Saccharomyces cerevisiae S288C: one gene and its partners. The protein of the gene in region 1 interacts with the protein of each later gene in a biochemical or structural test. Each region holds a gene or a part of one and is shown in the gene's direction. Other genes may lie near its edges. The genes, in order: ATG13, ATG29, ATG17 and ATG1.

The links.
Region 2: the proteins of ATG13 (region 1) and ATG29 form a complex in vitro, tested with the Saccharomyces cerevisiae proteins (2 studies listed by BioGRID).
Region 3: the proteins of ATG13 (region 1) and ATG17 form a complex in vitro, tested with the Saccharomyces cerevisiae proteins (5 studies listed by BioGRID, with this or other methods).
Region 4: the proteins of ATG13 (region 1) and ATG1 form a complex in vitro, tested with the Saccharomyces cerevisiae proteins (6 studies listed by BioGRID, with this or other methods).

What each region holds. Positions count from the first base shown.
Region 1 is NC_001148.4:902,998-911,755, forward strand, and holds ATG13 (serine/threonine protein kinase regulatory subunit ATG13), read left to right. Parts: upstream 1-4,220; coding exon 4,221-6,437; downstream 6,438-8,758. Other genes in the region: GDB1 (bifunctional 4-alpha-glucanotransferase/amylo-alpha-1,6-glucosidase), read left to right, coding at 1-3,657; PZF1 (Pzf1p), read right to left, coding at 6,736-8,025; DNA-directed RNA polymerase core subunit RPO26, read left to right, coding at 8,260-8,279, 8,356-8,758. UniProt on the Saccharomyces cerevisiae protein: Activates the ATG1 kinase in a nutritional condition dependent manner through the TOR pathway, leading to autophagy. Required for autophosphorylation of ATG1 at 'Thr-226' and its dimerization. May also be involved in the regulation of autophagy through SNF1.
Region 2 is NC_001148.4:233,753-241,024, forward strand, and holds ATG29 (Atg29p), read left to right. Parts: upstream 1-3,585; coding exon 3,586-4,227; downstream 4,228-7,272. Other genes in the region: REV3 (DNA-directed DNA polymerase), read right to left, coding at 1-3,355; SET6 (Set6p), read right to left, coding at 4,204-5,325; mismatch repair protein MLH3, read right to left, coding at 5,598-7,272. UniProt on the Saccharomyces cerevisiae protein: Plays a role in autophagy. Functions at the preautophagosomal structure (PAS) in order to form normal autophagosomes under starvation conditions. Also plays a role in mitophagy and regulation of filamentous growth.
Region 3 is NC_001144.5:969,688-977,343, reverse strand, and holds ATG17 (protein kinase regulatory subunit ATG17), read left to right. Parts: upstream 1-4,173; coding exon 4,174-5,427; downstream 5,428-7,656. Other genes in the region: mRNA splicing protein SPP382, read right to left, coding at 1,823-3,949; guanine nucleotide exchange factor DCK1, read right to left, coding at 5,649-7,656. UniProt on the Saccharomyces cerevisiae protein: Autophagy-specific protein that functions with ATG13, ATG29, and CIS1/ATG31 in response to autophagy-inducing signals as a scaffold to recruit other ATG proteins to organize pre-autophagosomal structure (PAS) formation.
Region 4 is NC_001139.9:155,925-165,176, forward strand, and holds ATG1 (serine/threonine protein kinase ATG1), read left to right. Parts: upstream 1-4,140; coding exon 4,141-6,834; downstream 6,835-9,252. Other genes in the region: cystathionine beta-lyase STR3, read right to left, coding at 1-88; MND1 (Mnd1p), read right to left, coding at 619-1,275, 1,359-1,361; GTS1 (Gts1p), read left to right, coding at 1,982-3,172; serine/threonine protein kinase TOS3, read right to left, coding at 7,485-9,167. UniProt on the Saccharomyces cerevisiae protein: Serine/threonine protein kinase involved in the cytoplasm to vacuole transport (Cvt) and found to be essential in autophagy, where it is required for the formation of autophagosomes.

The sequences.
Region 1 (8,758 bases):
GCCCATTGGAATGACGAATCTAACGAAAGTTACAGTTTTCCCGAGAATATTAAAGACATCTCGTCCGATTTCGTAAAACTAGCTTCCTTTGTGAAGGACAACGTCACTGAGCCTAACTTCGGCACTCTTGGTGAAAGAAACTCAAACAGGATTAACGTGCCAAAATTTATTCAACTACTGAAGCTCATTAACGATGGTGGTAGTGATGACAGTGAATCTTCGTTGGCCACGGCTCAAAACATCTTGAACGAGGTCAACTTACCCTTATATAGAGAATACGACGATGATGTCAGTGAGATACTCGAGCAACTGTTCAATCGTATCAAATATTTGAGATTAGATGACGGTGGGCCCAAGCAAGGTCCAGTGACCGTTGACGTGCCCTTAACAGAGCCTTATTTTACGAGGTTCAAAGGAAAAGATGGTACTGATTATGCCCTCGCCAACAATGGCTGGATATGGAATGGTAACCCACTAGTGGATTTTGCATCGCAGAATTCAAGAGCTTATTTACGTAGAGAAGTTATCGTGTGGGGGGACTGTGTCAAGTTAAGATACGGTAAAAGCCCTGAAGACTCTCCGTATCTGTGGGAAAGAATGTCCAAGTATATAGAAATGAACGCCAAGATATTTGACGGGTTCAGAATTGACAACTGCCATTCTACTCCAATACATGTTGGCGAATATTTCCTAGATTTGGCAAGAAAATACAACCCGAACCTATATGTCGTTGCAGAGCTGTTTTCTGGTTCCGAAACACTAGATTGTCTGTTTGTTGAACGGTTGGGTATCTCCTCTTTAATCAGAGAGGCAATGCAAGCCTGGTCCGAAGAAGAGTTGTCTAGATTAGTCCATAAGCATGGCGGGAGGCCCATTGGCTCCTATAAGTTTGTTCCTATGGATGACTTCTCATATCCTGCGGATATTAATTTAAACGAGGAGCATTGTTTCAACGACTCCAACGATAACTCCATAAGATGTGTATCAGAGATCATGATTCCAAAGATTTTAACCGCCACTCCGCCACACGCTTTATTCATGGACTGTACCCATGATAATGAAACTCCCTTTGAAAAAAGAACAGTGGAGGATACTTTGCCCAATGCTGCATTGGTGGCTCTTTGCTCGTCCGCCATTGGATCTGTTTATGGCTACGACGAAATTTTTCCACATTTACTGAATTTGGTCACTGAAAAAAGACATTATGACATTTCTACGCCTACTGGTAGCCCCTCGATAGGAATAACCAAAGTCAAGGCCACTTTGAATTCGATTAGAACGAGTATAGGAGAAAAGGCGTATGACATTGAAGACTCAGAAATGCATGTGCATCACCAGGGCCAGTACATTACTTTTCATCGTATGGATGTTAAATCCGGAAAAGGTTGGTACTTGATAGCAAGGATGAAATTTTCTGACAATGATGACCCTAACGAGACTTTACCACCAGTGGTGTTAAACCAATCCACCTGTTCTCTCAGGTTTTCGTATGCTTTGGAAAGAGTTGGCGATGAAATTCCCAACGACGATAAATTCATTAAAGGTATTCCCACGAAATTAAAGGAGCTTGAAGGGTTTGACATTTCTTATGATGATTCTAAGAAGATTTCAACGATAAAACTGCCCAATGAATTCCCTCAAGGATCTATTGCCATTTTTGAGACCCAACAGAATGGTGTGGACGAATCCTTAGATCATTTTATAAGGTCAGGTGCTTTAAAGGCCACTTCAAGTTTGACTCTAGAGTCAATAAATTCCGTCTTGTATCGTAGTGAGCCGGAAGAATACGATGTTAGCGCCGGCGAAGGTGGTGCTTATATTATTCCTAATTTTGGAAAGCCTGTGTATTGTGGTCTGCAAGGTTGGGTTTCCGTATTAAGAAAAATTGTGTTTTACAATGATTTAGCACATCCCCTCAGTGCAAATTTAAGAAATGGACATTGGGCTTTAGACTACACTATCAGTAGACTTAATTACTATAGCGATGAAGCAGGAATCAATGAAGTGCAGAACTGGCTGCGTTCAAGGTTTGATAGAGTGAAAAAGTTACCGAGCTACTTAGTGCCCAGTTATTTCGCCTTAATTATCGGCATCCTCTATGGTTGTTGTCGCTTAAAAGCAATACAGCTAATGTCCCGTAATATTGGTAAATCTACATTGTTTGTACAAAGCTTATCTATGACATCAATCCAGATGGTTTCCAGAATGAAGTCAACCTCTATTTTACCAGGCGAAAATGTTCCATCTATGGCTGCAGGGTTGCCACACTTTAGCGTAAACTACATGAGATGTTGGGGGAGAGATGTATTCATATCGCTAAGAGGTATGCTATTAACAACAGGTAGATTTGATGAAGCTAAAGCTCATATACTAGCCTTTGCAAAGACTTTGAAGCATGGTTTAATTCCAAACTTGCTGGATGCCGGTAGAAACCCGAGATATAATGCTCGTGATGCTGCCTGGTTCTTCTTGCAAGCTGTACAGGATTATGTTTATATTGTTCCTGATGGCGAAAAAATATTACAAGAGCAAGTAACAAGGAGATTCCCACTGGATGATACTTACATTCCTGTAGATGATCCAAGGGCATTTAGTTACTCTAGTACCTTGGAGGAGATCATTTATGAAATTTTGAGTAGGCATGCCAAGGGAATTAAATTCAGAGAGGCTAATGCAGGTCCAAATTTAGATCGTGTTATGACTGATAAAGGGTTTAATGTTGAAATTCATGTCGATTGGTCGACTGGCTTAATTCATGGTGGATCTCAGTATAACTGTGGTACTTGGATGGATAAGATGGGTGAAAGTGAAAAAGCAGGGTCTGTTGGTATTCCTGGAACACCCAGAGATGGAGCCGCAATAGAAATCAATGGGCTTTTAAAAAGTGCTTTAAGGTTTGTTATTGAACTAAAAAACAAGGGATTGTTTAAGTTTTCCGATGTGGAGACGCAGGACGGCGGGAGGATCGATTTCACTGAATGGAATCAATTACTTCAAGACAATTTCGAAAAAAGATATTATGTTCCGGAGGATCCATCACAGGATGCAGATTATGACGTGAGCGCTAAATTGGGTGTTAATAGACGGGGGATATACAGAGATTTGTACAAATCAGGAAAGCCTTATGAAGATTATCAGTTAAGACCAAATTTTGCTATTGCCATGACTGTGGCACCAGAGTTATTTGTGCCTGAGCATGCCATAAAAGCAATCACCATTGCAGATGAAGTCTTAAGAGGTCCAGTAGGTATGCGTACTTTAGACCCAAGCGATTACAATTACCGTCCGTACTACAACAACGGAGAAGATTCGGATGATTTTGCCACCTCAAAGGGTAGAAACTATCACCAAGGCCCTGAGTGGGTCTGGCTTTACGGCTACTTTTTAAGAGCGTTCCATCATTTCCACTTTAAAACCAGTCCACGTTGTCAGAATGCTGCCAAAGAGAAACCATCCTCTTATTTGTATCAACAATTATACTACAGATTAAAAGGCCATAGAAAATGGATTTTTGAAAGTGTGTGGGCAGGATTGACAGAGCTAACCAATAAAGATGGTGAAGTATGCAATGACTCAAGCCCCACGCAAGCCTGGAGTTCTGCTTGTTTGTTAGATCTATTTTATGATTTATGGGATGCCTACGAAGATGATTCCTGAAAATAGCTAAAGCATAAATTAATTGAACGGTCCCTTTTTGCCACCCGCTAATACTTTTATTTCTGTTCAACTATATATACATATATATATATTTACATATTTTTACCTCCCTATCTCTATTGATAATAAAACAAATAAAAATCGTATATTTTTGTATATGTATTATCGTTTTGAGGAGCGAGAGCGAAAACGAAAATAAAAGAAATAAAGGGAACACACGTGAAAGTGAAGGACAGCACCAACCAAGGGGGACAAAACGCGTCAGAGCAAGAGGTGAAAGGGTTGCCACGTACGTATTTGAACCGGAGTGAGCCGTTTGCGTGTTACAATCAATTCGATATCTTTGTTGTTTTGTTTAATTCGCTAAGATCTAAGTTTTTAACTAAGTGAGCAGCGGCAGTTACAGAAAGAGGCGAGAAGTAGAAACAAGGGTGTATAGATTTTCGTTACCTCACATAGATATAGAACGAATTCATAGGTACCAAATACATTCCACTTACACCTTCCAGGCTCAAGTCTTGAAAAGAAAGCAGAACATACAGCCCGGTTGAATAGCATGAGTCATGGTTGCCGAAGAGGACATCGAGAAGCAAGTCCTTCAATTGATAGACAGCTTTTTTCTGAAGACTACACTACTAATATGCTCCACCGAATCAAGTCGATACCAGTCTTCTACAGAAAATATATTCCTATTTGACGACACATGGTTTGAAGATCACTCAGAATTAGTGAGTGAGCTACCCGAGATAATATCAAAATGGTCTCACTACGATGGTCGAAAAGAGTTGCCACCCTTAGTGGTAGAGACATATTTGGATTTAAGACAGTTAAACTCGTCTCATTTAGTTAGATTAAAGGACCACGAAGGCCATTTGTGGAACGTTTGCAAAGGAACTAAGAAGCAGGAAATCGTGATGGAACGTTGGCTTATCGAATTAGATAATTCATCCCCAACTTTCAAATCATACAGTGAAGATGAGACTGATGTTAATGAACTTTCTAAACAGCTAGTCCTTCTCTTCCGTTATTTGTTGACTTTAATACAGTTACTACCCACAACAGAATTATACCAATTATTAATAAAGTCTTATAACGGCCCGCAAAATGAAGGAAGTTCCAATCCAATAACTTCCACGGGCCCACTAGTAAGTATCCGGACGTGTGTCCTTGACGGATCTAAACCAATTTTATCGAAGGGGAGAATAGGGTTGAGCAAACCGATTATTAATACATATTCCAATGCGCTTAACGAATCAAACCTGCCAGCCCATTTAGATCAAAAGAAGATCACACCTGTATGGACAAAGTTTGGACTCTTAAGAGTCTCGGTATCATACAGACGTGATTGGAAGTTTGAAATTAACAATACAAACGACGAATTATTTTCAGCTCGACATGCATCTGTCTCACATAACTCACAAGGACCCCAGAATCAGCCAGAACAAGAAGGACAAAGTGATCAAGACATAGGGAAACGCCAACCACAATTTCAACAGCAGCAGCAGCCCCAACAGCAGCAGCAGCAGCAGCAACAGCAACAGAGACAACACCAGGTCCAGACACAACAACAAAGACAGATACCTGATAGGAGATCTCTTTCACTTTCTCCTTGTACAAGAGCCAATTCTTTTGAACCACAATCTTGGCAGAAGAAAGTCTATCCAATATCGAGACCTGTTCAACCATTTAAAGTTGGTTCAATTGGAAGTCAAAGTGCGAGCAGAAATCCCTCTAATTCATCGTTTTTCAACCAACCACCTGTTCATAGGCCAAGTATGAGCTCCAACTACGGGCCACAAATGAATATTGAAGGTACCAGTGTTGGAAGCACCTCAAAGTATTCCTCCTCCTTTGGGAACATTCGTCGTCACTCAAGTGTAAAGACGACAGAGAATGCTGAAAAAGTATCAAAAGCTGTAAAGAGCCCACTACAACCTCAAGAATCACAAGAAGATTTAATGGATTTTGTTAAATTACTCGAAGAAAAACCCGATCTAACTATAAAGAAGACAAGTGGAAATAATCCACCCAATATCAATATTTCTGATTCTCTAATCAGATATCAGAATTTGAAGCCAAGTAATGACTTATTAAGTGAAGATTTATCCGTAAGTTTATCCATGGATCCAAATCATACATATCACAGAGGCAGATCAGATTCCCACTCACCATTGCCTTCAATATCCCCTTCGATGCATTATGGATCGTTGAACTCGAGAATGTCTCAAGGCGCCAATGCAAGCCATTTGATTGCAAGAGGCGGTGGGAATTCATCTACTAGTGCCTTGAATAGTAGAAGGAATTCTTTAGATAAGAGCTCAAACAAGCAGGGTATGTCAGGCTTACCTCCTATTTTTGGTGGAGAGAGTACTTCATATCACCACGACAACAAAATACAAAAGTACAACCAATTAGGAGTAGAAGAAGATGATGATGACGAGAATGACCGTTTGCTCAACCAAATGGGAAACAGTGCTACAAAATTCAAAAGTTCAATATCTCCAAGATCAATTGATAGCATTTCAAGTTCTTTCATAAAAAGTAGGATACCTATCAGACAACCATACCATTACTCTCAACCAACTACTGCGCCCTTTCAAGCTCAGGCGAAATTTCATAAACCTGCAAATAAGTTAATCGATAATGGTAATAGGAGTAATAGTAACAATAACAATCATAATGGGAATGATGCAGTTGGTGTGATGCATAATGACGAGGATGATCAAGATGATGATCTAGTATTTTTCATGAGTGATATGAACCTTTCTAAAGAAGGTTAAAAATGGTAAAGTTTTATTTTAAAGGGCACAACTAAAGAAAAATAATCAAAAAAAAGGTGAAATAGATATGCAAGAAAAGAAAAAAAAATACAATACTAGTAAACTGAAATAAAAAAGATTAGCCATAATGGATTTGTTTCTCTTTGTTATCGATATTCTTACCTCTTGAAGATCCATGTGTCTATCATTTGAATTGAATATATAATTATATACAGTGAGATATACCAATTGCAGTAACAAAATGGCAAATATGTATATCAGTAATATAATTAGCATATAAAATAAAAAAAAAAAATGCTTATTTGTCACCCGCTGACTGCGTTTCCTTTTGAATTATAAAAGGTTCCTTATGGTTCTGGTCCACTAGCGTTTTATTTTCTTCCTTTTCCTGTAATATTTTTAACTTTAGCTCATGTACTTTGTGCTTGTCTATATGTTTCTCGTATTTTTCCTTTGTCTTGAAAGTCCTAGAACAATTATTGTAAAAGCATCTGTATTTTCTTCCAACGGTATTCAATAAAAGGTTTAGCCCATTTTCACCAGACTCAAGTCGCTTTTCTAAATCCACTTCATTCTGTAAAAACTCTACATTATTGTTTTCGGTAAGTTTTCTCCTTTTCCTCAACCTATTGGAAATCTTCTCTTCATCCTGCTCATTCGAGTGTTTGCTATTCCCCAGTTGAACTCCGTGGTCTTGGACAAGTTGTTGAATATCAGAAATTTTATATTTTAGTTCCAGTGGGATATCTTCTTCCGTATGAATAGACCCATAATGCGTGAGAAGATCATGTTTTCTAGAAAAAGACATATCAGGACATATATGACACTTCCAATTTTTGGTTACTAGTGAGTCGTCATGAATAATCATGTGCATTTGTAAACCATTTTCCCCCACACATGGTTTGCTACAAATAGGACATTTTAATTTAGGATGATCATTTTTTATATGCGATTGCAATTGTGACCATATCCGAAACTCTTTGCAACAACCAGCAAAAGTACATTGGTAAGGATTTTCTACCTCAGGATCGTGATGTTTAGAAATGTGATTTCTTAGCCTATATGGCCTCTGAAAGCTTTTATTGCAGTGTGGACAGGTTAGTTTATGTAAATGAACAGATAAAATATGTGCCCTTAATTGTGGATGCTTGTAGAATCGGAGGTTGCATCCTTCCTCTGGACAAATGAAAGATTTGGTATGCGTTACTTCGTGTCGCTTCAGTTGCTGGCGAGTCGTCACTCCTTTTCCACAATAAGAACATTGGAATGGTTTCGTATCAGAATGCGTATACAAGTGTCTCTCTAAGTGACTCTTTTTAACGAAGGATTTTGCACACTTATCACACTGAAATGCTCTTAAACCCTGATGTACGCTTAATTGGTGTTCAGTCAAAATTGAAGGTCTTGTAAATGCCTTATCACAGCCATCATAGTCACAGAAATATGTCTTTGGCCTATTGCTCGATGAGCTTCTAGTTGATGTTAAACTGTTCAATGATTCTGAACTCTCTGATCGTGATATGGGAATGGTCTCCTGTTTAAGTTCGGCCAGTGGCATTCCTTCATTATTTAGAACCTCTCCTCCCATTTGACAGCGATTTCAACAGTTACTACTGTGCTTAATGCCCTTATTTGATAGTTAGTTCTTCTTATAATAAATAATCATTGTATATTGATTATTCGTATAGTATGATATTTAATTGAAAAAAAAATTTTTTTTTTTTTAAGAATATCATTCAAAGGCATCAATCACAACCTTGAAGAAAGGCTAAAAAGACACATTTTGCAGGTAACAGTGTAAAGATTAAGGCTACAAGTGATCATGTCAGACTACGAGGAGGCGTATGTGCATTCATATTGGAGAAATTGCGTGCTTTAGTTTTAATTATATTTACTAACTTCTATCATTGTGATACAGGTTTAACGACGGTAATGAGAACTTCGAAGATTTTGATGTAGAGCATTTTTCTGATGAGGAGACTTATGAGGAAAAACCTCAATTCAAGGATGGTGAAACAACCGATGCCAACGGTAAGACCATCGTTACTGGTGGTAATGGCCCAGAAGATTTTCAACAGCATGAGCAAATAAGAAGAAAGACACTTAAGGAAAAGGCCATCCCAAAAGACCAAAGAGCAACTACTCCATACATGACCAAATATGAAAGGGCAAGAATTTTAGGTACAAGAGCCCTACAAATTTCCATGAATGCGCCAGTTTTTGTAGATTTAGAAGGTGAAACTGATCCATTGCGTATTGCCATGAAGGAGTTGGCTGAAAAGAAAATTCCTTTGGTTATTAGAAGATATTTACCAGATGGT
Region 2 (7,272 bases), 670 kb from region 1:
CTCTGCCTGTTTGTACAATGCTATCAGCTAAATCAGAGCATGGCATTCGTCCAGAAAATGAAGCTGATGTATAACCGTAGGTGACATTCGCCAATAATTTTAGTGCTAACTGTTTGTTATTCAAAAGCCTTTTTAGGGTAGTGTTGTCATCACCTATTTCGTTCATTGTTTTCTTTATCATCACTCTGACATCAAGGATATCTGTTAACATTTTGGATAACGTTGATTTTCTAACAGAGGTCTTGGCATAAACAACACCATTTGGAGCGATAGTTACATCATTTTTTAATAAAGCTAAAATGTTTCTTGGTAATGAAAACTTAGATACTCCAAGGTTATTTTCCGTTAAGTTTATTTCTCGCACTCTTCCTATCATAGTCGAATAGCAATAGTTGTATCCAATCATAATGGATGGATACAATGATTGGAAATCCAGCACAATTAAAGGACTTTTGTAGAAAGCAGATTCTGGCTCCATAACCAAAGGCACACATTCAAGTGCTTTTTGCTTACGAACATCCTTTTTGCCTGGAGAAAGAAGGATAAAACTTTCGGACTTGCATATTCGGATTAAAAAAGACTCAACTTTAAATTGTGATCCTCTGTAATATACAGAATGGAAATCTATTCCTATCAATCTTGCCTGTTCGATATTTCGAGCAATGTAATCCTGCTTTCTTAATAGTTGTATATTTATCTGAGCTCTTGATAACCAATAATTTAACACAGTCTTTAATTCGGTTGTGCTCTTTTTAGCGTTCCACATATTAGTTAATGACTCAAATGAAAAGTGAGGTAATCGTTTATGGAGGATATTGAACGCAGCACTTTCAATAGTATATTGCGTTAAATTTACGTCGGACCTCAACGCTCTCCATATATTAATCATATGTCTTCCGGTAATCATAATTCCTGAGGAATGGGCATATCCCCAAGTATCTGACAACTTCGTCTTAATTTGGCATTTGACTCTGGCAAGTTCCCTGACAATGTCAAATTGATGTATTTTTTGACACCTTTCAATTATATAACCCCACGAAAAATTATGTATTTCGAAACCGGAAAGAATATCAGGATCAAGAAGTAATACCAAATCAGTTAGAGCCTCAAACATTTCAAATTCACTTTCATAGAACATCACGGGAATTTCGTTAATACAATGTTGAATTTTAGTAGGAAATGTACTATCCTCAGAAGCTTTGTGGACTATCATAATCCCTTCGTAAGCGATATCCAAATCTAAAGGGAAAGTTTCTTCTTCAAGACACCATATAATCATGGAAACTTCATCTATTGCAGGGTCTGGAATTTTATCACTTCTCGTGTTTGCATGAATCTCAAGTGTCAGATGAGTAAGAGAATCGTGAACGCTACTTTTTTTTCTTTTTTGTTTTCCAGAAACGTCACTAGCAAATTTGTATAAAAACTTACTATGAGGGGTGTGCATGCTTATCTGAGACTCAGTTTTTTTGTTTCCCATCGAGGGTACTTTATTGTACCATTTTTGAACAGCATCATACGTAGGTGGTTTTAACGCATATTTCCAGGAGGAAAACATGTCGAAAGTTGGCTTGTTATAAACTGATACGGTCTCTCCCCCAAATTGGACGGGTATTCTCGTTGATACATGTGTCGAGCTTATTTCAAACCTCTTACCTGCGTACGCGTAAGGTTTATTTTCTAGATCAACTGGATTCGAAAAGAAAGGGTCCTTATAGTCTATTTTTGGGAATCCCTCGTCTTCCAATTTATTCAGAATATCTTGATAACCGAAAGGAGGCTCACCATAAACAAAGGCTCTTTTTCCATAGCGTAATCCCGCAGCCATAACCTTCTTTCTTTTCCGAGACAGCAACGATGTTTTATTAGCAGAAACAGATGATCTAAGTTTTCGTTTACTTGCCATATTTTGCGTCATAGCACAATCCATTGAAAAATTTATCGTATTGTGATATTTTGTTTGATGATCTAATAGTATAGTAGAATCTTTCGGAGACGCAATGCTTTCCGGTAACCATGAATAAGACCGAGACTTTATATTGCTTCCTTTTACACCTTCGTTCTCATTATCAACACCACATATCTCGTATTCGGTGAACGATGCATTAACTTGGTCGTCGTTCTTTTTATCTTGCATACTATTATTGTTTATTTCAATCTGTGGAAGCCTTGGCCACAATTGCGGTAATGCTTCATAGGGCGTATTTATGGCTGAGAATTTTTGATTCTTATCTATAAAGTTCTCAAAATTTGGTATTTGACCATCAAAAGTACTTGTTTTATGTTGTGCTTTCTTATAAAACGCTTCGAACTCTCCAGAAGATTGCCATTGATGACCACTCACATGGCGCTTTGTTTCTGGTGGTTCTTTATATTCCTTCAAGGACAACTCCTCTCGTTGCATGGTAAGTTCATTTATCATGTCCCTAGCAGAGGATACATATGGTTTGACAGGTATGTCAGAAATATCTCCCAGTTTTTCCAAAAAGTCGTGATGTATATCTCTATGCTGTAACTTTTCTCTATTTTTGATGAATTGCGGTAGTATATCTATCTCAATCAATCCATTTCCAACCCGTGGAAAATCCCTTCTACTGAGTACGTTACACTTGAAGTCACAAAATCGATCTAGTAACAACTGAAGATCATCATTAATTGTCAGCTTATCTATGTCCAGTATACTATTTAAAACAGGAGAGCGAAAATAACACCTATCCACGTTTATCCATGAACATCCAAATAAGTTAAAATCTGCGGTCCATTGTAGCAAGTAAGGAATATGTGATTCATAAATTTCGAATTTCTTTCCGAAAATCTTGCCATCTCTAATCAATTCCGAAATCCTACTTAGACAAGAAGGATTAAGCAAAGAAATTTTGTAAAACAGATTCCAGCCAACGTGGTAACCATAAAATGGTATACCCTTTACAACAGAGACATCAGCGACAAAATTGAGATTTCCAAGTTTGTCGCCGGCTAAATCGTGTTTATCATCTTTTTTCCTTTTAAAGGATGCCCTAATTTTTACTTCCAGCGTTTTATGAACTTGGGCACATCTTTGGTGTCTCAATGTACTCGTGTCAGTTATTTGTCCATCATACTTGATGAACATGTAAGGTAGAATGCCATGGACGTGGCACAATACTTGATGCCCTGTGGGTAAAGCACCAAACACCCTGATGTTTGGGACCTGTGAAAACTGGTTTAAGGGCAGGCTTTCACCGTGCGATGGGTCCAAAAAGGTGGGTTTTGACATATAGTAGTCTTGATTATTTAGCTGGATTCTAAAATAGTCTGATTTAGAGGATGATCTAACCGTATCGCTCTGTATTGTGTCGTTCGACTCCCTCGACATTTCCAAACATTTTATTTCGCCACAACTTGTAGTTTTGTATTGACTCAAATACTTTCTCTTGTTTTGTGCTTCTATTACAGAGATGGCTTTTTTCTTCAAGTACACTATTTCTAGACGCACTGCACTCGTCAAAAAAATGATTCAAGGTGAAAATAAAGGGGTGTTAGTGAATACTTATCAAGAAGAGACATACATAATTGTACTGCTGTGCATTTTCCTACTTGACTTTCATGATTATGAATAGTACAAACACAGTTGTATATATCAAAGTTAAGGGTAGGAGACCACAGGGATTCTTGGATCCTCCCAAATTTGAGTGGAATGGAACAAAGGAGCGACAGCTTTGGACAATGGTATCAAATTTGAATTATTCACAAGATCAAATAGATTGGCAGAATTTATCAAAAATATTTGAAACGCCTGAATTTTTTCTTAAAAAGAGAACATATAAATTATTTGCTGAACACTTAGAGCTTTTACAACTACAATTGGAGAAAAAAAGAGATCTTGAGAAGTATTCAAATGATCAAGTGAATGAAGGGATGTCTGATTTAATACATAAATATACCCCTACTTTACAAAATGATAATCTATTAAATGTATCCGCAAGCCCACTGACCACGGAAAGACAGGATTCTGAAGAAGTTGAGACAGAAGTAACAAATGAGGCGTTACAACATTTGCAAACTTCCAAAATTTTGAACATTCACAAGAAAACATCGGATAGTGAGAATAAGCCTAATGACAAATTGGATAAGGATGGTATTAATAAAGAAATGGAGTGCGGTAGTTCAGATGACGATTTATCTTCGAGCTTAAGTGTTAGTAAATCTGCGTTGGAAGAAGCGCTAATGGACAGATTGCAATTCTGATTTACATCTTTCACAAGCACAATCAAAAAACCAACTGTCGGCCAAAAAGGCCCGGCGTTTTACTGTTGGTAAGTCCAGTACCCCGGAATAATCGATACAGATCTGCTCATCCTTTTTTATATCTCTATTCATAGTGAATAGCATTGAATTACCTTTACGATATTTCGTTATATTGGGGTTACAAGAGTGGTTGAAATAGGAGGCTTCTGGAAATACCCAGTATCCAAAATATTCTCTGCTGTCTGAGGCTTCGCCCTCTTGCCATAAACCAAAAGCATTCCCATATTCAGTACCTAATATATGTCTCAATAGCGGTATGGAGAGCATTCTATGCAAATGTGAAGGTAATAGAATATAGAGTGTTTGAAATACTAATTTTTGAAAGTGCAGTAAGACAGGAAATTTAGATATTTTGCTAAGCTCATTCGATTGTAACATATTGAAAGCTCGGTATGTTATGCACTGAGGATCCATATATTTAAGATTAAACAAACTCTCGCACACAAACCTAATGCAGCAATATTCATCTTCGCAAGTGGGTGGTAATTGATTTATTCTCTTCGCAGATTTCATGTTGTTGATGCGCGGTATCCATTTACTTTCAATCTCATCCCATGAAGACTGTATGACATTTTCCGAAATTAAGATAGAGTTTAATTTTTCCTCCTGTTCAGAGGTATAATTATATCTTTTCAGCATGCTTGGAAAATGATGCAGTAATATCTCATAACATTCAATTAATTCAATGATATTTGGTATTTGAAGATAAGAAGTTCTGCAATGTTCTGAACAGAACCACAGTCCAGCGCCCAGAAACTTCTTAGGGTTAATTTGGTAGTGTGCATTACAAACCAAATCTCTCAGGTAATCGTAGTTTAGTTTGTACTTCATAGTTTTCGCATTAGCGTATGCGAAACAATTGTGACAAACTTCCTTCCTGAACTCATAGGAAATAGATGTTCCTGTAAAATTACTGACTTGCAAGACTGTTGTCCCTTTAGGAATATTACCATTACTGAAACAAGCCCTACCGCCCCATTTAGTTTGCCTAACCTGGAAAAATGGGGAAATTTCATGTACGTCTCCATCAATAGTCATTTTTAAATTTTAGGTTATTTTGTGTTTGCATATATAAATGGTATATATATATATATATATATTCATATAAATCTAGGGCTACATTTATAATATCAGAGATACATAAAACGGTAATGCAACAGTGGAGCAGTATTGTATCGCACGTTTCTTTTTTGTTTTTGTTTTTTAAATTTTTCCAGGTTTTGACAACGTGATGAGGTAATCTTCTGTTTTGCATATCCGCGCAATTTAAAATGCAGGCGACAAACCTTGTTCCAGGATTAAGGTTCTCTTTACTTCAATTCTGCAATGGGTACCATAGAAGGTCTCCCGTGGGCGCATTCGAATGGGTTATGGCATCGCGAGAGCTTGCTAATTAAAATTATGCACTCTTGCCGGGTTAATTCATCTCCAAACATAACAGCAGATCTGCATGCCTTGCTGTTAAGAATTTCATGAAAGACCGTTGGAACGCAGCTTGAGTACTTCCACCAATATAATTTATCAACCGAAGTGTAGTTTTCGAAATGGGATAAATCCATTGGAAGTTTTTTGAAATCCTTCAGGTCATGAGCATGTTGCAGCAAGACCATTTTTAAGTAGTCTTTATCCCCGTTATATTTGGAAGTTAACATCTCAGGCAGTGTTTTAATTTCCAAAAGTGAGGTTTCCATTGTTCCCTCAATTGTTTCATAGCCAATTCCCCACTTTTTAAATTCACTTTGATAATGCTTAAATAAGTCAGCCTCAGTACGATCAACTTCAATGCAACAATCCTTGAGGTCTCGTGCAACAAAAGTTCCGGTTACAACTTCTGTCAACAGGCTATAAAATAGCTCTTCTAGTCTTATCCTCTCATCGCAAGCATGTTGATCAACTAGAACTAATAGTGGGCAATTATGAATAGATTGGTCTAAACAACGTATGAGAATAAATTTTTTATCTACTTGATTAATCACTTCATATTTTGCCAGGACAGATCTTGATATTGAAAAATCTGTTATGGTTTTTCCTATACTGTCATAATCTTCTGTAAAACCACTATCGTAGGGCCTGGAAGAGAGTTTATTCCGTAACCTTGATTTCTGACCGTCGATTCTTATATTCTTGATTTTTTCGTAGTTTATTGTACTATTGTTTATTCTACATCCATTGACAGCGGGTTTTCCTATGTATGAATTAATGCGTGCAATCTTCATTTTTGAATTTAATACTTGATTACGTTTACTGATTTGGATTCGACTATCAGGCAATGTTGCCGTCTTCTGTGAACAATTGACTATTTCGAAAGATGAATCTGATTTATCAGGCGTTAAGTATCCTTGAAATGTCAGAAAGGAGCGAATGGTCTTAACGATCAATGGTTCAATGGTACGTATATGGGAAGGCTTAACAATTTTCTTTGCTGGATCTTGTAACAGGTCATCGATAGTTTGGGGGCACCGAACATCAAGGATGAAGACGGGATGTGATCGATACGGTTTTCCCACGCTTTTAGTTTTGAGTAAACTCATGCCTTTCTCCCCGAAATCTTGTGCTTGGAATAAAGAATCGACGTATCCTTGAAAGGCGCTGTCCGCATAACGTCTGCCATTGATATATATAAATTGAAGATCCTTCAATCCAACGGGCATCTTCGATATGATCCCTTCAATCTGATATTCATTAAACTTCAAGGAAACTTTCTTAAGCATATCCGGTGGTATTATTGCCCCAAACACATTTCTCAGTACTTGAGACATTTGCTGGTGCTTTGTTAACCCCTCAGTTATGTTCTTTGAGCGGAAAAGAACTTCTGTATTGATTCTGAGTTTGTCTGTATATTGTACGTTGAGTGAAATCATCGGGTGCATTACCAGTATCTGTAGCATATCTGCCTTTATTGTGTTAAAAGTCTTGAAAGGGGGTTCTTCCTTTAGTATTCTGCGCCGGACAGGTAAATTATACAGCATATCTTCAACAATAACA
Region 3 (7,656 bases), on another chromosome or scaffold:
TATATCACACAGCTGGACATATCCTCTGCTTACTTATATGCTGATATCAAAGAAGAATTATACATAAGACCTCCACCACATTTAGGTTTGAATGATAAGTTACTACGTTTGAGAAAATCACTCTATGGTTTGAAACAAAGTGGTGCAAACTGGTATGAAACCATTAAATCATATTTAATAAATTGTTGCGACATGCAAGAAGTTCGCGGATGGTCATGCGTATTTAAGAATAGTCAAGTAACAATTTGCTTATTCGTTGATGATATGATATTATTCAGCAAAGACTTAAATGCAAATAAGAAAATCATAACAACACTCAAGAAACAATACGATACAAAGATAATAAATCTGGGTGAAGGTGATAACGAAATTCAGTACGACATACTTGGATTAGAGATCAAATATCAAAGAAGCAAGTACATGAAATTAGGTATGGAAAAATCCTTGACAGAAAAATTACCCAAACTAAACGTACCTTTGAACCCAAAAGGAAAGAAACTTAGAGCTCCAGGTCAACCAGGTCATTATATAGACCAGGATGAACTAGAAATAAATGAAGAGAAATTTAGAAACAGATTTTTTGGCACAAAGGCAATGAGACTTAGAGATGAAGTATCAGGTAATAATTTATACGTATACTACATCGAGACCAAGAAGAACATTGCTGATGTGATGACAAAACCTCTTCCGATAAAAACATTTAAACTATTAACTAACAAATGGATTCATTAGATCTATTACATTATGGGTGGTATGTTGGAATAAAAATCAACTATCATCTACTAACTAGTATTTACGTTACTAGTATATTATCATATACGGTGTTAGAAGATGACGCAAATGATGAGAAATAGTCATCTAAATTAGTGGAAGCTGAAACGCAAGGATTGATAATGTAATAGGATCAATGAATATTAACATATAAAATGATGATAATAATATTTATAGAATTGTGTAGAATTGCAGATTCCCTTTTATGGATTCCTAAATCCTCGAGGAGAACTTCTAGTATATCTACATACCTAATATTATAGCCTTAATCACAATGGAATCCCAACAATTACATCAAAATCCACATACTCTACAAATTTAAAGAAGTTTAACTCCAACAATAGCCGTTACTAACAAGAATCCCAAAAAGTATCAAATTATTCGCTGATTCTTCAAAACTATTTGAAAAAAAAAATCTCACATTTTTGATATTCCAACATAAGTAATTGAAGGTCAATGATAGAAGCTATCAATAATATTATATAATTTTTAACTCAGCAGATATCGGAAATAAAAGACTCCATGGCCAAGTTGGTTAAGGCGTGCGACTGTTAATCGCAAGATCGTGAGTTCAACCCTCACTGGGGTCGTTTATTTTTTTTGCATTAAATTATTTAGTGAGCTAAAAACTCCATTAAAATAGTAATCGTATAAACTAATATCAAGTGAAGCTGACTACTTGATTAGGCTCACTACTTAGCCACATTCGGGCTTTCTTCTGTCTTTCTTGGAAAATAACAGCTCCATTTGATCTTGATATAAAAAAGGTCCTTTGATCCCATCCGAAACTCGTTTCCTTCTGCCACAACTCTTAACAGTCTAACTACGAGAGTCTAGCGAAGTATAAAAGTTTAAACAATAAATTTTGGAAACATTTCAAGGGCAAAATACCAACAACTATCAAATAAGGGGAATTAATAGACTCCACTTTAAATTAATCCATTGTCTAAAAATGGTAATGCAATTATTATTTATTTAGTAATCTAATCAATTTTGTTTTTCGACAATAATATATAAATCGTGCCTATCTCACCTCTTTTATAGGTACTTTCTAGAGGTCAAGGGCCCATAAATAAATTGGCTTAAAGGTCCCACTGGAATCCTCCACCCAAAGAATATCATGTTTCAAAGCAACTTCCATTTTTTTCTTCCCGTTTCGGATCTCAAATAAAGGAACTATACAATCTTGGTCTCTTCCATATGGCAGTTGAGTGTACCTATTTGGTATTTTGCTGATCAAGTACCCTTTTTCCAGGCAGTAGTCTTCTACCACATCCTTGAAAGAGCTGCTAACTTTTCCAAGCGGAATATTTTGTACAGTATAGGTAGGTTCTTGTTCGCTTTGACTAATATCGTCGATCACTTGTGTTTCCATTAAGTTTCGTAAACCCTGTCTCAAATCGAAATCTTCATCTAATGTAGATTTATCAAGGTGGTACCTATGAGACATAGCGAATATATTATAGCTTTTTCTGATCTCCGATAGTTCTATTTCTGTTGGTAAAGAGTGCTCAAATACCGTATTCATCAGCCAATTAAGCCACCACTTTGACTTGTGTAAGTCTTCCACTGTACTATAAAGATGCCATTGATAGAGTATTTTGTTTATATTATTAAAGGTTCCCCGCATCATCAATTCATACTGTTTTGGATGAAAATAATGGGTATAACTTCTCAGTTTTTTCATAAAATAGAAAAATCCAGAATCTTTTTCTTTCCATTCCTGTTTTTCCTTCCAATCCTCTAACTCGTAGATGGGGTCATTATGTCTTTCCCACAGCTCGTCCAGGAATTTAGGAAGAAACTCTTTACATAAAATTTTGTAATATCTTCGTTCGCAGATAAGTTCTTTGATAAATATAATATCAGAATTAGTGATACAAAATGATTCCCTATGGTACCAATTTTTACAATAAGCAAAAAATTTTGCTTCAATCTTGTCCACAATTGTGTCTTTGATCTTATCGTCAATTAAAACCATAAAATCCAAGACCCATATTCTTGGCGAAACATGGTCTACTTCATCGTGAAGTTCCCAATTATCTAATTCCTGTAATAGCTTTGGATAGACGAATTCCTCCATGATATGCTCTTTACACCCGATAAAACTTAGCACTTGTTGGAAATCCAGTAATAGGGTGATAGCGCTGTCGATTTTTGATTTAGTCATATCAAACCCTTCCCAAAATTTTTTGAGTTTGGGATATATAACTTTAAAGATTGTTGTTTGTGTCCTGTTCAAAAATTTCGAAGTTGTATCCATTCTATATGCGAGTAGTTCTATAATTTGCGTTAACTCATCAAGTATATCGTTTGGCTTTTCTAAATGATCCAAATCAAATTCTATTAGTAATTCTTTTCTCAATAAGCAGGACGTTAGCCTATCTATGAGCTCGTCGTCGGACAATTTTAAAATAGCACCAATCTTATCATACAGGGAAACATGCTTGCTTTCGTCCCTCAAAGTAACCTCCAATTCAGAAAGAAGCCTCTCTTGTCCATAATATTCTTTGACTTGCACTTCTAACGGAGAGGTGCGCTGACGAATAGCTTCCAAACTTTTTTCAATACCCAGCAGCTCTTGCAATATCTCCACAACAACATCTTTTTTCGGCTTTGGTACTGCATTTAAAGGGTCTAATTCTTTTAGGATACTCTCTGGTAATTGTACCCCTGCTAACCTCAATTCTCTCAGTGTTCGCACTATAGTCATATCACCACTATCATTTAACAACGCTTCGCCTAAAACCTCCGTGGAGGTTTTATTGAATTTGACTTGTTCTATACCTTCAACCACCTCATCCTCAGAGCTCAAGTAATCCTCATTTTCACTGTGATAGTTACTGGAGTTGGTATTTGAAAACATTCCTAGACCTGCATTGTGCATAGGTCGGCTTTGGGTTTCTATTGGTGTAGTTATACCAGAACCATCCTTCCCAAGGCCTTTTCCCGCAACATATCCCATACTCGAAAGTAACTTCGCACCAATACCATATGTCTTCGTTAATTTTGAGATCGTTGGGGCATTGCCGCTACTAGTTTTCAAGGCATCATTAGTGTATGTCATGTCACTATTCATGCTTGAATTATTATCTTCCTCATCGCTATAATTATAGGAATCGATTCTTCTTTTTTTGAAAAAGAACTTTTTATCTGTGTTGGAGTCCGAATCCTCCATGTTTTGGCGTACTGAAGGCTTAAGTTCTTCGACCTCTCTCGGTTGTACTATTTCGAAATTTTGGATTTTTGTTATTGTTTTGACATAATGTAAATACTAGATGCGCGCTCTAAGGCCTCAGTATTAAAAATTGCAAGATATCCCTAACTTGATAATTATTTGAAAGTCGCATAACGTACGATAAATTCGATACTGCGAGGATATTATCAACGTATTTAACACCTATGAACGAAGCAGATGTTACAAAATTTGTTAATAATGCCAGGAAAACGCTGACCGATGCTCAACTTTTATGTTCAAGTGCTAATTTAAGGATTGTAGATATTAAGAAAAAATTGTCATCTTGGCAGTTGAGTATTTCAAAACTCAATTTTCTAATAGTTGGCTTGAGACAGCAAGGAAAGTTTCTTTACACTATTTTAAAGGAAGGCATTGGGACAAAGCTAATCCAGAAACAATGGAATCAAGCTGTCTTAGTGGTCTTAGTTGATGAGATGAAGTACTGGCAATATGAAATCACTTCTAAAGTACAAAGGTTGGATGGTATAGTAAATGAATTGAGCATATCAGAAAAAGATGATACCGATCCCTCTAAACTAGGAGATTACATCTCGAGAGACAACGTTAACTTATTGAATGACAAACTGAAAGAAGTGCCAGTAATTGAGCGTCAAATTGAAAACATTAAGCTTCAATACGAAAATATGGTCAGAAAAGTTAACAAAGAACTGATTGATACCAAGTTGACGGACGTAACTCAAAAATTCCAAAGTAAATTTGGTATAGATAACCTGATGGAAACAAATGTTGCAGAGCAGTTTAGCAGGGAACTAACGGACCTTGAAAAAGATTTAGCAGAGATAATGAATTCATTGACACAGCACTTTGATAAGACATTGCTGTTACAAGATAAAAAAATTGATAACGATGAACGTGAGGAGCTGTTTAAGGTGGTACAAGGCGACGACAAAGAACTATACAACATTTTCAAAACTCTGCATGAGGTAATTGATGACGTGGACAAAACAATTCTTAACTTGGGTCAATTTTTGCAGGCAAAAATAAAGGAAAAGACAGAACTACACAGCGAAGTTTCTGAAATAATAAACGATTTCAATAGAAATTTGGAATATCTATTAATCTTTAAAGATATTTCCAATCTGATTGATAGCTTCAAAAATTCCTGTACACAAGATATTCAAACAACTAAGGAACTTTGTGAATTTTATGATAATTTTGAAGAAAGCTACGGTAACTTAGTTCTAGAAGCAAAGAGGAGAAAGGATGTGGCAAACAGAATGAAAACTATATTGAAAGATTGTGAAAAGCAGTTGCAGAATTTAGATGCTCAGGACCAGGAAGAACGTCAGAATTTTATAGCGGAAAATGGAACTTATCTTCCTGAGACAATCTGGCCCGGTAAAATTGACGATTTTTCTTCCCTGTACACTTTAAATTACAACGTGAAGAATCCTTAGAAAAAAGGAAAAAAAGGATACGGTACAAAGATTCAATAATTGTATCAATATTTCGAAAAATACTTTATCAAAAAAGCAATACTTGAAGGAGAAAGGAAAAAATTCGCTGTCTTCTTCACTTTTACGACAAAGAAAAATGTGCCCTTTTCAACTAAAAGTCATGAATGAATAAATAAATGATTACATATGCGTATATTTTATAGTGAACAACTTCTGACATATTATCCCGAATGTGAGTAATCATGCTTGTGCTGTGAATCTGTGTTGGTGTTTGGCTGTGACCCTGCCAAAAAGGTGCTCGAAGTGCCGGAAACAATTCCACTTTTATCCAAACTGCTCGTAGTGGACGAGTGGGATAACGTTCTTGTTAAATATTTTCCAAAAAGTAAACTGTTTGGGCCAAATGAGTCGCTATGTTCTAATACAAATTGGCTATGATTGGACCCTGAGGTGTGATGATCCCTTCCAGAAAAGCTTGCCTTTTTATTGGGGTTCTTGTGCGAAATTATTCGAGCAGTAATCATGTTATTCCTGCTACGATTGGCCTCACTGAGAGTACGACTATATCTTTCTATCTCCTCAGCGAAATTTTCCTCAAAAAGACGCACTAGAAGATCATGTGATGGTTTTAGATCCTTTGATGGTAGTAGTTCTGCATGCAACGTTAGACAGCGACCTAATACTGCAACAAGCTCATCAAAAGCTAGCGTCAATCTTCCTAAATCATCAGTACTGAACTGCTTGGATGTGGAGGGTTCTAAAAAGGCCTTGTACTGTGATATGCCTCCATTAACTGGAGCTGATATTGTTCCCGTAATATTTGTAGAAAGCTCGGTAAATAAATCGTTCACATCACCGTGGTCCTTCAGAGTTTTATTGCACATGTTTTCAAGCCCATATAACTCCTGTATTTTAACTTGTAAGGAACGAATTGCATTTTCAAGTGGAGAAAGTTTGCTCTTCGTAACCTTTACAATTTCTGATCTATTCATTAGTGTTGGAAAAGTATTCATAGTATGATACGTATATTCCTCCACCCACAGGTCAGTGACTCCTTTTGCGCCTGGCAAACGTCGAGAATTACTGAAAGTCCTCAAATCTCTATTCTCAATGTACATCCGCACTTTGTTGTTAATTGAGCTTTTCTTGTCACTACTGTTGTAATTATCGGATATACTTAAGCACGGTTCGACGGAAGCTACATGAATGTATTTTCCCATTGGAGGATTCATCAATAACATATCCACTTCTTCTTGTGAGTGTACAATATTTGACCCATGATAGCTTCGTAGAAGCCTGTCATGCATAGACGTAATGTGTTCAAATGGGAGACCCTCAAAGACGAACGATTTATTTCTTAATGATTTTGGAAAACCAAATCCCATGAAAGAAACTTTAAAATACGTTGGAACCAGTCTATCAATGGACTGTAATCTGGTATAAATGCCTGCTATTTGGTCATGTACAAAGGCCAGCCCGTTTAAATCATAATTGATCTCATCGTAGGCTTTTATCAAGTCCTTGTATACCGCTAAAGCTTTTTCTGGTTTTTGGCCTCTCGAAAAGTTTCTTGCGGATTCCTTAAGAAGATATTCCTTCCTCTCAAATGAAGATTGCTCTGGCAATGGCGGGAAAGATATTGCTTCAAGAGTATCATTAGAATCCCAAGCGTACGTACCTGCCAAGAGTTCTAGACTCAAAGCTGCTTGAACAAAGTCTTTTTTCTGAATAAAGTGGATAAACAAATCATATATCATTTTATGAAACAACTCTGGCCTGTTTGCTTCTAGCAAGTACTCGAACATCTCTATGTGCCGAGCAGTCCGATCATCATCAAATTCTTCTTGATTAGGTATTTTGTAGATTTCATTTACAATATGCAAAAAACCAAGTAAATCTCTTAAGAAATCCATACAAGCAGGAAAAAAGGTGTCAGAATCGGGAACGTGCATCATAAAAAACAAACAAGAAACAAACCTTTCCAATTCGTAATCATTCAAACGAAGCTTCCCGATTTGGTATGCGCTGAATAATTCTGGGATACATGCGTTCACTGCTGGTTGTAGGGACCCAAATATCCTCCAAAAATTTAGCCCTAATCCCCATAGTATTTTGCAACAAATTCTTGTTGCATCGATATGTCTATGGAAAGCAAAAATAAAGATCTCACGTATCAAAAATTGATTATGAACAAACAATTCAAATTGGCAATCACTCAAGGCTCCTAAT
Region 4 (9,252 bases), on another chromosome or scaffold:
ACAAATACACCGGTGGCACGGAGGCTGAATGTTGGTCATTTTGAGAGCCGGTATTTACCACAACTGTATCTAATCTCTTGATCGGCATCTTTTTGCTTCTATGCTTTTGTTGTTTGCTTGATATTTTTTGTTTTTAATGAACTGTAAGCACACAGAGCTATGGGATGTGTGGCAATGACTGTATATATATGTATATATATATATATATATATATATATATTTATTTATTTATTTATTTAAAATATAGCTACGTATGCGCCAGTTGTTTTTATCAGCTTTGCTTCTGGCCACATTTCAACCAGGTCTCAGAGGATATATGGCCAGAAGGCCCCTTTACACACTTTTGAGATGCGATGAGTCTTCCAAGGTAGGAGCATATGCCTCCAACAGACTTCGGCCCGAAGCATGCTGTGCTCACGGGAATTATATTGTGTGAAGCACATGCCACACTTTCCAAAAAAGAGTCAGAATGAGTCAGCCGGATAACCAAACGCGGACTGTGGCGCCACGGAAAACAGTGTGGCAAATTTATGGGCGGCTAATCTGCAAGCTCTATGCCTGGAAATGTAGATGTAATAATCAAGACACTTTTGTTCTTTCGTGTATAGTGCATGAAGGTTAAACCTCCGTAAATTCCTTGAACTCTTCTGGAATTCCAAATTCTTTTCTTATCTGTTCTGGCTTCAAAAAGAATTTCTTGTATAAATAATCAATGAGAATCTCAATGTTATCAGTAGTTTTCTCCAGATGCACTTTTTTTAGGCGGATCTGTTGTTTATTCTCTTGTATTTTTGCTGCATCCCATCTAATGCTTTCTATTTTTTGGAGACTATTACTCTTTTTCTTAATTTCATCCTGAATTTTTTTTCTCTTTTCCAGTAGAGCCTCCCTATTGTATGATTTTTGGCCTACCGTAAATTTTTTACGCCTTCCAGTTGCTAGCGTTTTGTCTAGTTCTTGTTTATAAGTGGCAATATCACACTTTACTTCCTGTATCTTTTTTTTTATCAACTCGCTTGAATCATACAATTTTTGCAGTGTCTGATTTTTAAAGCACCAGTAGATGTTAATATTACCACATTTTTCCACCGAAATGACGCCGTCTTCATCAATCATTTGTTGCACTAAATCTTTAACGATCATGGGTGAGATTCCGCATTTTTTAGGTATGCTTTTCTCTAATTCCTTGATGTTGTAGAATGTGTACGTCTCTTGAAAAAAGTTCAGAATCCGGTTCTTTTTCTCTTGGAGTGATACTGTCTGTCTCTTTGGCCCCTAATAATAAGAAGAGGGTAGCACGCACCCGTCTATAAGTTAGTGTTCAGTCCTGTGTACCATGATGGTTTTATTAGACATACCATTGTTGAATGTTTATGATACTACACATAAAGTTTCCGCCGTTTAGTCTATATCGCAAAGAATAACGGTGGGACGGGAGATCGCCTTTTATATGCAATTTCGTGATCTGGGCGGTTATTTTACTTTTTTTCGACGCATAAAAAAGCAGGAAAGATGGTAAATTCGGTTCGTTATTCAAGATTTTTAGAGCCAGAAAGATATTTGAGCGTGCCTTCGTGAGAAGAGGCTTAGGTTGAGACGATGATGCTGAAATTATGGCAAGACACGAATTCTTCTTCAAGTTTCCCTTGTCATAATAAGAAGAGAAAAACATACCTTTATGTCGGTTGCAATTAAGAAGGTTGTATAGAGCATCTCAAATGCTGCTTTTACTTTATTAAACGTTGACCAAATAATACGGCGCTTTTGTTTCGACAACGACACACTATGATGCAAAGCGGATCCGGGTAATCGATAAATGGGGGCACCCGGAAATTATTGTAAGTTGAAGAAAGTTAGTGTTGATCTCTAAATGCTTCACAAAAGGGTGGAAGAAGAACATTTTCTCTTGATCAATCATTAATATAGATGGAGGCAGCGTTCTGTCAATCACAGATTATAGTTTATTTATACTTAGTCAAAAATGAGGTTTAGGAGTTCTTCCCATAGCTTAAAACATGTTGACAGAGAATTAAAGGAGTTGATTAATTCGTCCGAGAATGCCAATAAATGCGGTGAATGTGGTAATTTCTACCCAACTTGGTGCTCAGTTAATTTGGGGGTTTTCCTTTGTGGTAGGTGTGCCTCTGTTCATAGAAAAGTTTTCGGTAGCAGAGACGACGATGCCTTTTCTAACGTTAAATCACTATCAATGGATAGATGGACAAGAGAGGATATCGATGAATTAGTGAGTCTTGGAGGCAATAAGGGGAATGCTCGGTTCTGGAATCCTAAAAATGTCCCTTTTCCTTTTGATGGAGATGATGACAAAGCCATCGTGGAGCATTACATTAGAGACAAGTATATTTTGGGTAAATTCAGGTATGATGAAATAAAGCCTGAAGACTTTGGATCCAGAATGGATGATTTTGATGGGGAATCGGACAGGTTTGATGAAAGAAATAGAAGTAGGAGCAGGAGCAGATCTCATTCTTTCTATAAAGGGGGCCATAATAGGTCTGACTACGGCGGTTCCAGGGACTCATTCCAAAGCAGTGGAAGCAGATATTCTAGGCAACTGGCAGAACTCAAGGACATGGGTTTCGGTGATACAAACAAAAATTTAGATGCATTATCGTCCGCTCACGGAAATATCAATAGAGCAATCGATTATCTAGAAAAAAGTTCAAGTTCAAGAAATAGTGTATCGGCAGCAGCGACAACATCAACTCCGCCCCTGCCCAGGAGACGTGCGACAACAAGTGGCCCACAGCCAGCTATTTTTGATGGTACAAATGTAATCACGCCAGATTTTACTTCAAATTCAGCATCTTTTGTACAAGCAAAGCCAGCAGTTTTCGATGGTACCCTTCAACAGTATTACGATCCTGCTACCGGAATGATATATGTAGATCAGCAGCAATACGCCATGGCTATGCAACAGCAGCAACAGCAACAGCAACAGCTTGCTGTCGCACAGGCTCAGGCTCAGGCACAGGCACAGGCACAGGCTCAAGTTCAGGCTCAGGCTCAGGCTCAGGCCCAGGCTCAGGCTCAAGCACAGCAGATCCAGATGCAACAGCTTCAGATGCAGCAACAGCAACAGGCGCCATTATCTTTTCAGCAAATGTCGCAAGGAGGAAACCTGCCACAAGGTTATTTCTACACACAATAAAAATAAGATACATTGCCGCTGCTCCGCATTACATATCATATAGAGTGACACTAAGTAATTAAATGACACTAAGTAACGAAAGATATCTGTAAACAACGACTATATACCAGAATTAGTCATATTCTCTATTGTATTCACCCTACACAGCCGCATTACACAGCTGCTCCGGACGTTTTACGCTGCACATCAATGACTAATACCACTGTATTTGATCCACACTTAGCGCAAAAGTCACCTGGGTGGCGTTTTCCGCTCGCGCTCCGCCGGTGAGAGCGAGAAAAAAAAAAGGGATTGGGCGGTAATGTAAGGAAAACCCACTAGTTAAAATCAATGAGATAAGGAACTCTCTTTTTTTCCCGTTAATCATCTTTTCCTTGTTCGTTTCGTGTATCTGTAATGAATCTTATCGGAGTAACTATTACTGGAAAGCCATACCGTTAAAGAAGCAAGCATATCATTCGTATTCAAGCATCTGTTTTTCTTTTTAACCGCTCGGCTCTGATTTCTTAAACCATTTCCCCCATCAGCATCAGTTTGTGATTTGTAACTATATCGATCGTGGAATCGATGGAATTCTAAGCGTCATTTAGTTGGCAACAAAAGGAATCGAGCATCTCATAAAGGAGCTTATATTATTAATATCTTCCTGATCGTACTATTTTTTTTTAGCTTTTTATTTTTTAGGCCGAGGTTAATTCTAGAACGCCACATTTCATCACCTTTAAGTTAAGTACCAAGGCCATCTTTTACCCTTTTTAGTTTCTGGGGAAACAGAGAACAGTACTATAGAAGATAAAAAGATATAATACAATCGTAGTAATAGTACCCATAATAAAATAACATATAATATAATAAAAACATAAGGCAAAGGAGATAGGAGAATAATCATTGATATCTCCACAAAACGAATTTGAAGCTACCCCATATTTTCAAATCTCTTTTACAACACCAGACGAGAAATTAAGAAAATGGGAGACATTAAAAATAAAGATCACACAACCTCTGTGAACCATAATCTAATGGCAAGTGCAGGAAATTACACCGCTGAGAAAGAAATCGGAAAGGGTTCGTTTGCCACTGTATATAGAGGGCATCTGACATCCGACAAATCTCAGCATGTAGCCATAAAGGAAGTATCAAGGGCGAAATTAAAAAATAAGAAATTACTAGAGAATTTGGAAATAGAAATCGCTATCTTGAAGAAAATCAAGCATCCTCATATCGTCGGACTTATTGACTGTGAACGAACATCAACAGATTTTTATTTGATCATGGAGTACTGTGCTCTTGGGGACCTAACATTTCTGTTGAAAAGGCGTAAAGAATTGATGGAGAATCATCCTCTACTAAGGACCGTATTTGAAAAATACCCTCCACCGAGTGAGAACCATAACGGCCTGCATAGAGCGTTTGTCTTGAGTTATTTACAGCAGTTAGCGTCCGCTTTGAAATTTTTGAGGTCTAAAAACTTGGTTCATAGAGACATCAAGCCTCAAAACTTACTATTATCTACACCCCTAATTGGATATCATGATTCAAAAAGCTTCCATGAACTTGGATTTGTTGGGATCTACAACTTACCCATTTTAAAGATAGCAGATTTCGGGTTTGCAAGATTTTTGCCAAACACGTCATTAGCAGAAACTCTTTGTGGCTCACCATTATATATGGCACCAGAAATTTTGAATTATCAAAAATATAACGCTAAAGCAGATCTGTGGTCTGTCGGTACAGTGGTATTCGAAATGTGCTGTGGCACCCCACCGTTTAGAGCTTCCAATCATTTGGAGTTATTCAAGAAAATTAAAAGAGCAAACGATGTCATAACGTTTCCTTCATATTGCAATATTGAACCAGAGTTAAAAGAGTTGATATGTAGTTTATTGACATTTGATCCAGCCCAAAGAATAGGATTTGAGGAGTTTTTTGCTAACAAGGTAGTCAACGAAGACTTGTCTTCTTATGAATTGGAAGATGATTTACCTGAGTTAGAATCCAAATCAAAAGGTATTGTAGAAAGTAATATGTTCGTTTCTGAGTATTTATCTAAACAGCCAAAGAGTCCGAACAGTAATCTTGCAGGTCATCAATCAATGGCAGATAATCCCGCGGAGCTCAGTGATGCCCTCAAGAACAGCAATATATTAACTGCCCCAGCCGTTAAAACAGACCATACACAAGCCGTAGATAAAAAGGCTTCAAATAATAAATACCATAATAGCCTAGTTTCAGATAGAAGCTTTGAAAGAGAATATGTGGTGGTAGAGAAGAAATCGGTTGAAGTTAATTCATTGGCAGACGAGGTTGCTCAAGCAGGATTCAATCCAAATCCTATTAAGCACCCAACTTCAACTCAAAATCAGAACGTCTTATTGAATGAGCAATTCTCTCCAAACAATCAACAGTATTTTCAAAATCAAGGAGAAAATCCGAGGTTACTGAGGGCCACATCATCTTCCAGTGGAGGTAGTGATGGGTCTAGGCGACCATCTTTGGTGGATAGACGCTTGTCTATATCCTCGCTGAATCCATCTAATGCATTATCAAGAGCCCTCGGTATTGCATCAACGAGATTGTTTGGTGGTGCAAATCAACAGCAGCAACAGCAACAAATCACATCTTCCCCACCGTACAGTCAAACTTTGTTGAATTCCCAACTTTTTCATGAACTTACTGAGAATATAATATTAAGAATAGATCACCTACAGCATCCAGAGACACTGAAATTAGATAATACTAATATCGTTAGTATTTTGGAATCTCTGGCCGCAAAGGCATTTGTTGTTTACTCTTATGCAGAAGTGAAATTTTCTCAAATTGTTCCATTATCAACAACATTAAAAGGCATGGCTAACTTTGAGAACAGGCGCAGTATGGATAGTAATGCTATTGCAGAAGAACAAGACTCAGACGATGCAGAAGAAGAGGATGAAACGTTGAAAAAGTACAAGGAAGATTGCTTATCCACGAAAACTTTTGGAAAGGGTAGAACTTTATCTGCCACATCTCAGTTGAGTGCAACTTTCAATAAACTACCACGTTCGGAAATGATCCTTCTATGTAATGAGGCCATTGTCTTATATATGAAGGCATTATCCATTTTATCAAAATCTATGCAGGTAACGTCCAACTGGTGGTATGAATCTCAAGAAAAATCATGTTCTCTAAGAGTTAACGTGTTGGTACAGTGGCTAAGGGAAAAATTTAATGAATGTTTAGAAAAAGCTGATTTCCTGAGATTAAAAATTAACGACTTGAGATTCAAGCATGCTTCTGAGGTAGCTGAAAATCAAACTTTGGAAGAAAAAGGTAGTTCGGAAGAGCCAGTATATTTAGAAAAGCTATTATATGATCGTGCATTAGAAATATCTAAGATGGCCGCACATATGGAATTAAAAGGAGAAAATTTGTACAACTGTGAATTAGCTTATGCAACTTCACTTTGGATGTTAGAAACTTCTCTGGACGATGATGATTTTACGAATGCCTATGGTGACTACCCTTTTAAAACTAACATACATCTAAAAAGTAACGACGTTGAAGATAAAGAGAAGTATCATAGTGTGTTGGATGAAAATGACAGAATAATCATAAGAAAGTATATTGATAGTATTGCAAACAGGTTGAAAATATTGAGGCAGAAGATGAACCACCAAAATTAAGTGATGCATAATATGGTTTTCTTATTAAGTACAAATGACCTGCTATATTTTCAAGTATCTTCATGATTATGTTATGCTACTCTCGAAATGCTTTACGAGTTCGTCATTAAAGTATTCAAATTTTATTTTCCCTTTGTGTTTTGTTTTGTTTTTATTTCTACGTGATTTTTTTCTTGAAATCCAGCTCTTTTATACCTGGATGGGTTTTATTTTGATGTTTAAATGTTAATTAAGGAAATTATTGAATTCCTTCGGTTTCGGTGTGTTTTTTTCTTTTTAAGTTTTTTTTTGTTGCGTTTAGTACTTGCCTTTGGCTATACATATCCTTTTAATCTAATTTTTATTTCTTCAAAATTTGATTCTTTAACCTTTTGTTCTATATATATATATAAATGTATGTATGTATGATTTGATTGAGGAGGCTTTAACAAGTCATTAATATCTTTATTATTTTTACTTGTTGAGTTCATTAAAATTCATTTTATAATTTGTTGTTACAAACAGTATTTTACAAGTCATAATAAACGTTCAAAAACAAACACAATATTAAAAGAATTGGTATTAGGATCCGACATGACAATTAACTTAGATCCTTCTATCAAGTTTCTAATCATATATTACATCTATTAAAATAATTTACATATATCATGCTAAAGCTTATAAAGAGACATTCTTCTTCTCGTGCGCTGGGCGTCGCTAGCCTCAAATACAAGTGATGCGTCTGCTTCTATTCTAAGGTCATCCTTGCTGTTAGATTTCCCTTCTACCAGGTGGGCTTTTATACGTTGAGGTACATTACCGACAGGCGTAAGAGTAGAGCTCAAACTTGCTTCCGTACTCTCAAAGGGATATTCTCCTACAGGAGACATAGTTGTATATTGTGGAAACTCACAAGAATTCACTCTTAATGAACTTCCACTCTCACCTATCAAGCATTGTTGATCACCGATTGCTGGGGCATCCTGAATACTGATCTGAGATGCAAAAGCGGTGGATGATGTGAAAGAGGAAAAGGACGAATAGGATGACTCTCTAGAACCGATGTTGTGATATGCTGAGGGTGATAAGGTATTTGCGTCGTATATTGATGGAGAATATGTTGAATTTCTGTCAGCACCAGTCCTAAGGTTATTGTGGTCAAAATTTTCCATATAAACGCTATCTAAAGAGGCGAATGATGAATTCACTGGTAGGCTGACCAATTCTACCCTTTTGCATGAAGAGGGCGGTGAAACTTTCAACTCATGAAACGTCTCCAAATTGGTCAATACGGATGCTGCATCGCTTTTACCATAATGGCACATAAACGGATGTACCTTGATGTCTGCTAGTTTTATCCGTTTGTCAGGATCTTTTTGTAACAGCTTCTTCAATAAATCTTTGGCATCAGTGTATTCTTCCATTGTGATTCCCGAAGTGGCACCATTCAACATTTCCTCATAAGATGGAAATTCTAAGGGTTTATTGATAATACTGTCGAAAAGTTCTAATCCTGAATTGGCGTTGAAAGGCAACTTTCCAAACAACAAGCAGTATATAGTGACCCCCAATGACCAGATATCGATGGCAGATGAGCAGGAATACTCTTTTTCAGTGGAGCAAAGCTCAGGTGCAAAAAAAGCAGGGGTCCCTAAGGCTCTAGATTTTAAAAGTTGTTCATGCGATGATTGTATATTAGTACTTCCGGTGGCAGTTGACATAGCAACGCCAAAATCGGATATTTTCACCGTTCCGTTTGATGAAATTAACAGGTTCGATGGTTTGATATCTCGATGCGTTATCCCTTGGGAATGTAAATACTCCAGACCCGATACTACATCCAACACTACCTTCCTCGACTGTTGGAAAGTGAGTATTGATGGTCCCACTGCTTTTATCTCCATTTTGTTTTCTGGACACCATTTAACGGGTCCCCTTGAGCAATATTCTAATACAAGATAAACCTTTGTGCTCTCAGGGTCATTCAAAATTTCATACAATTCCACAACGTTTTCATGATGACATCTTTTCATTACTTCAATTTCTTGATTAACCCTTGGATTTTCTACTTTCAATTGAAGAGAATACCCGCTTCTTTTTTCGAATCTATTAAGAATTTTTATTGCAACCAACGCACCTGTCCCGAGATCTCTTGCTAATTTCACTTTGCCGTACTGTCCATTACCCAAAGTGGCTAAAATTTCAAAGTTGTTAAGGATTTGTCTCTTAGTTAAGGGATTATATAATAGTTTGACTTTTCTTGTCTCTTTTATACGACTACTACTATTGCTCGCATTATTATATAACAGAGATGATCGAGGCAGCGGCTGAACAGGTTCTTTAAGTAGTACCATATTCTTCAAAGCTTCCTTTTTATATGCAGAATATGTGCGCAGCAATTTCAAGGCGTAGAGTACGAGTCACTAGAGGCTCGAGCAT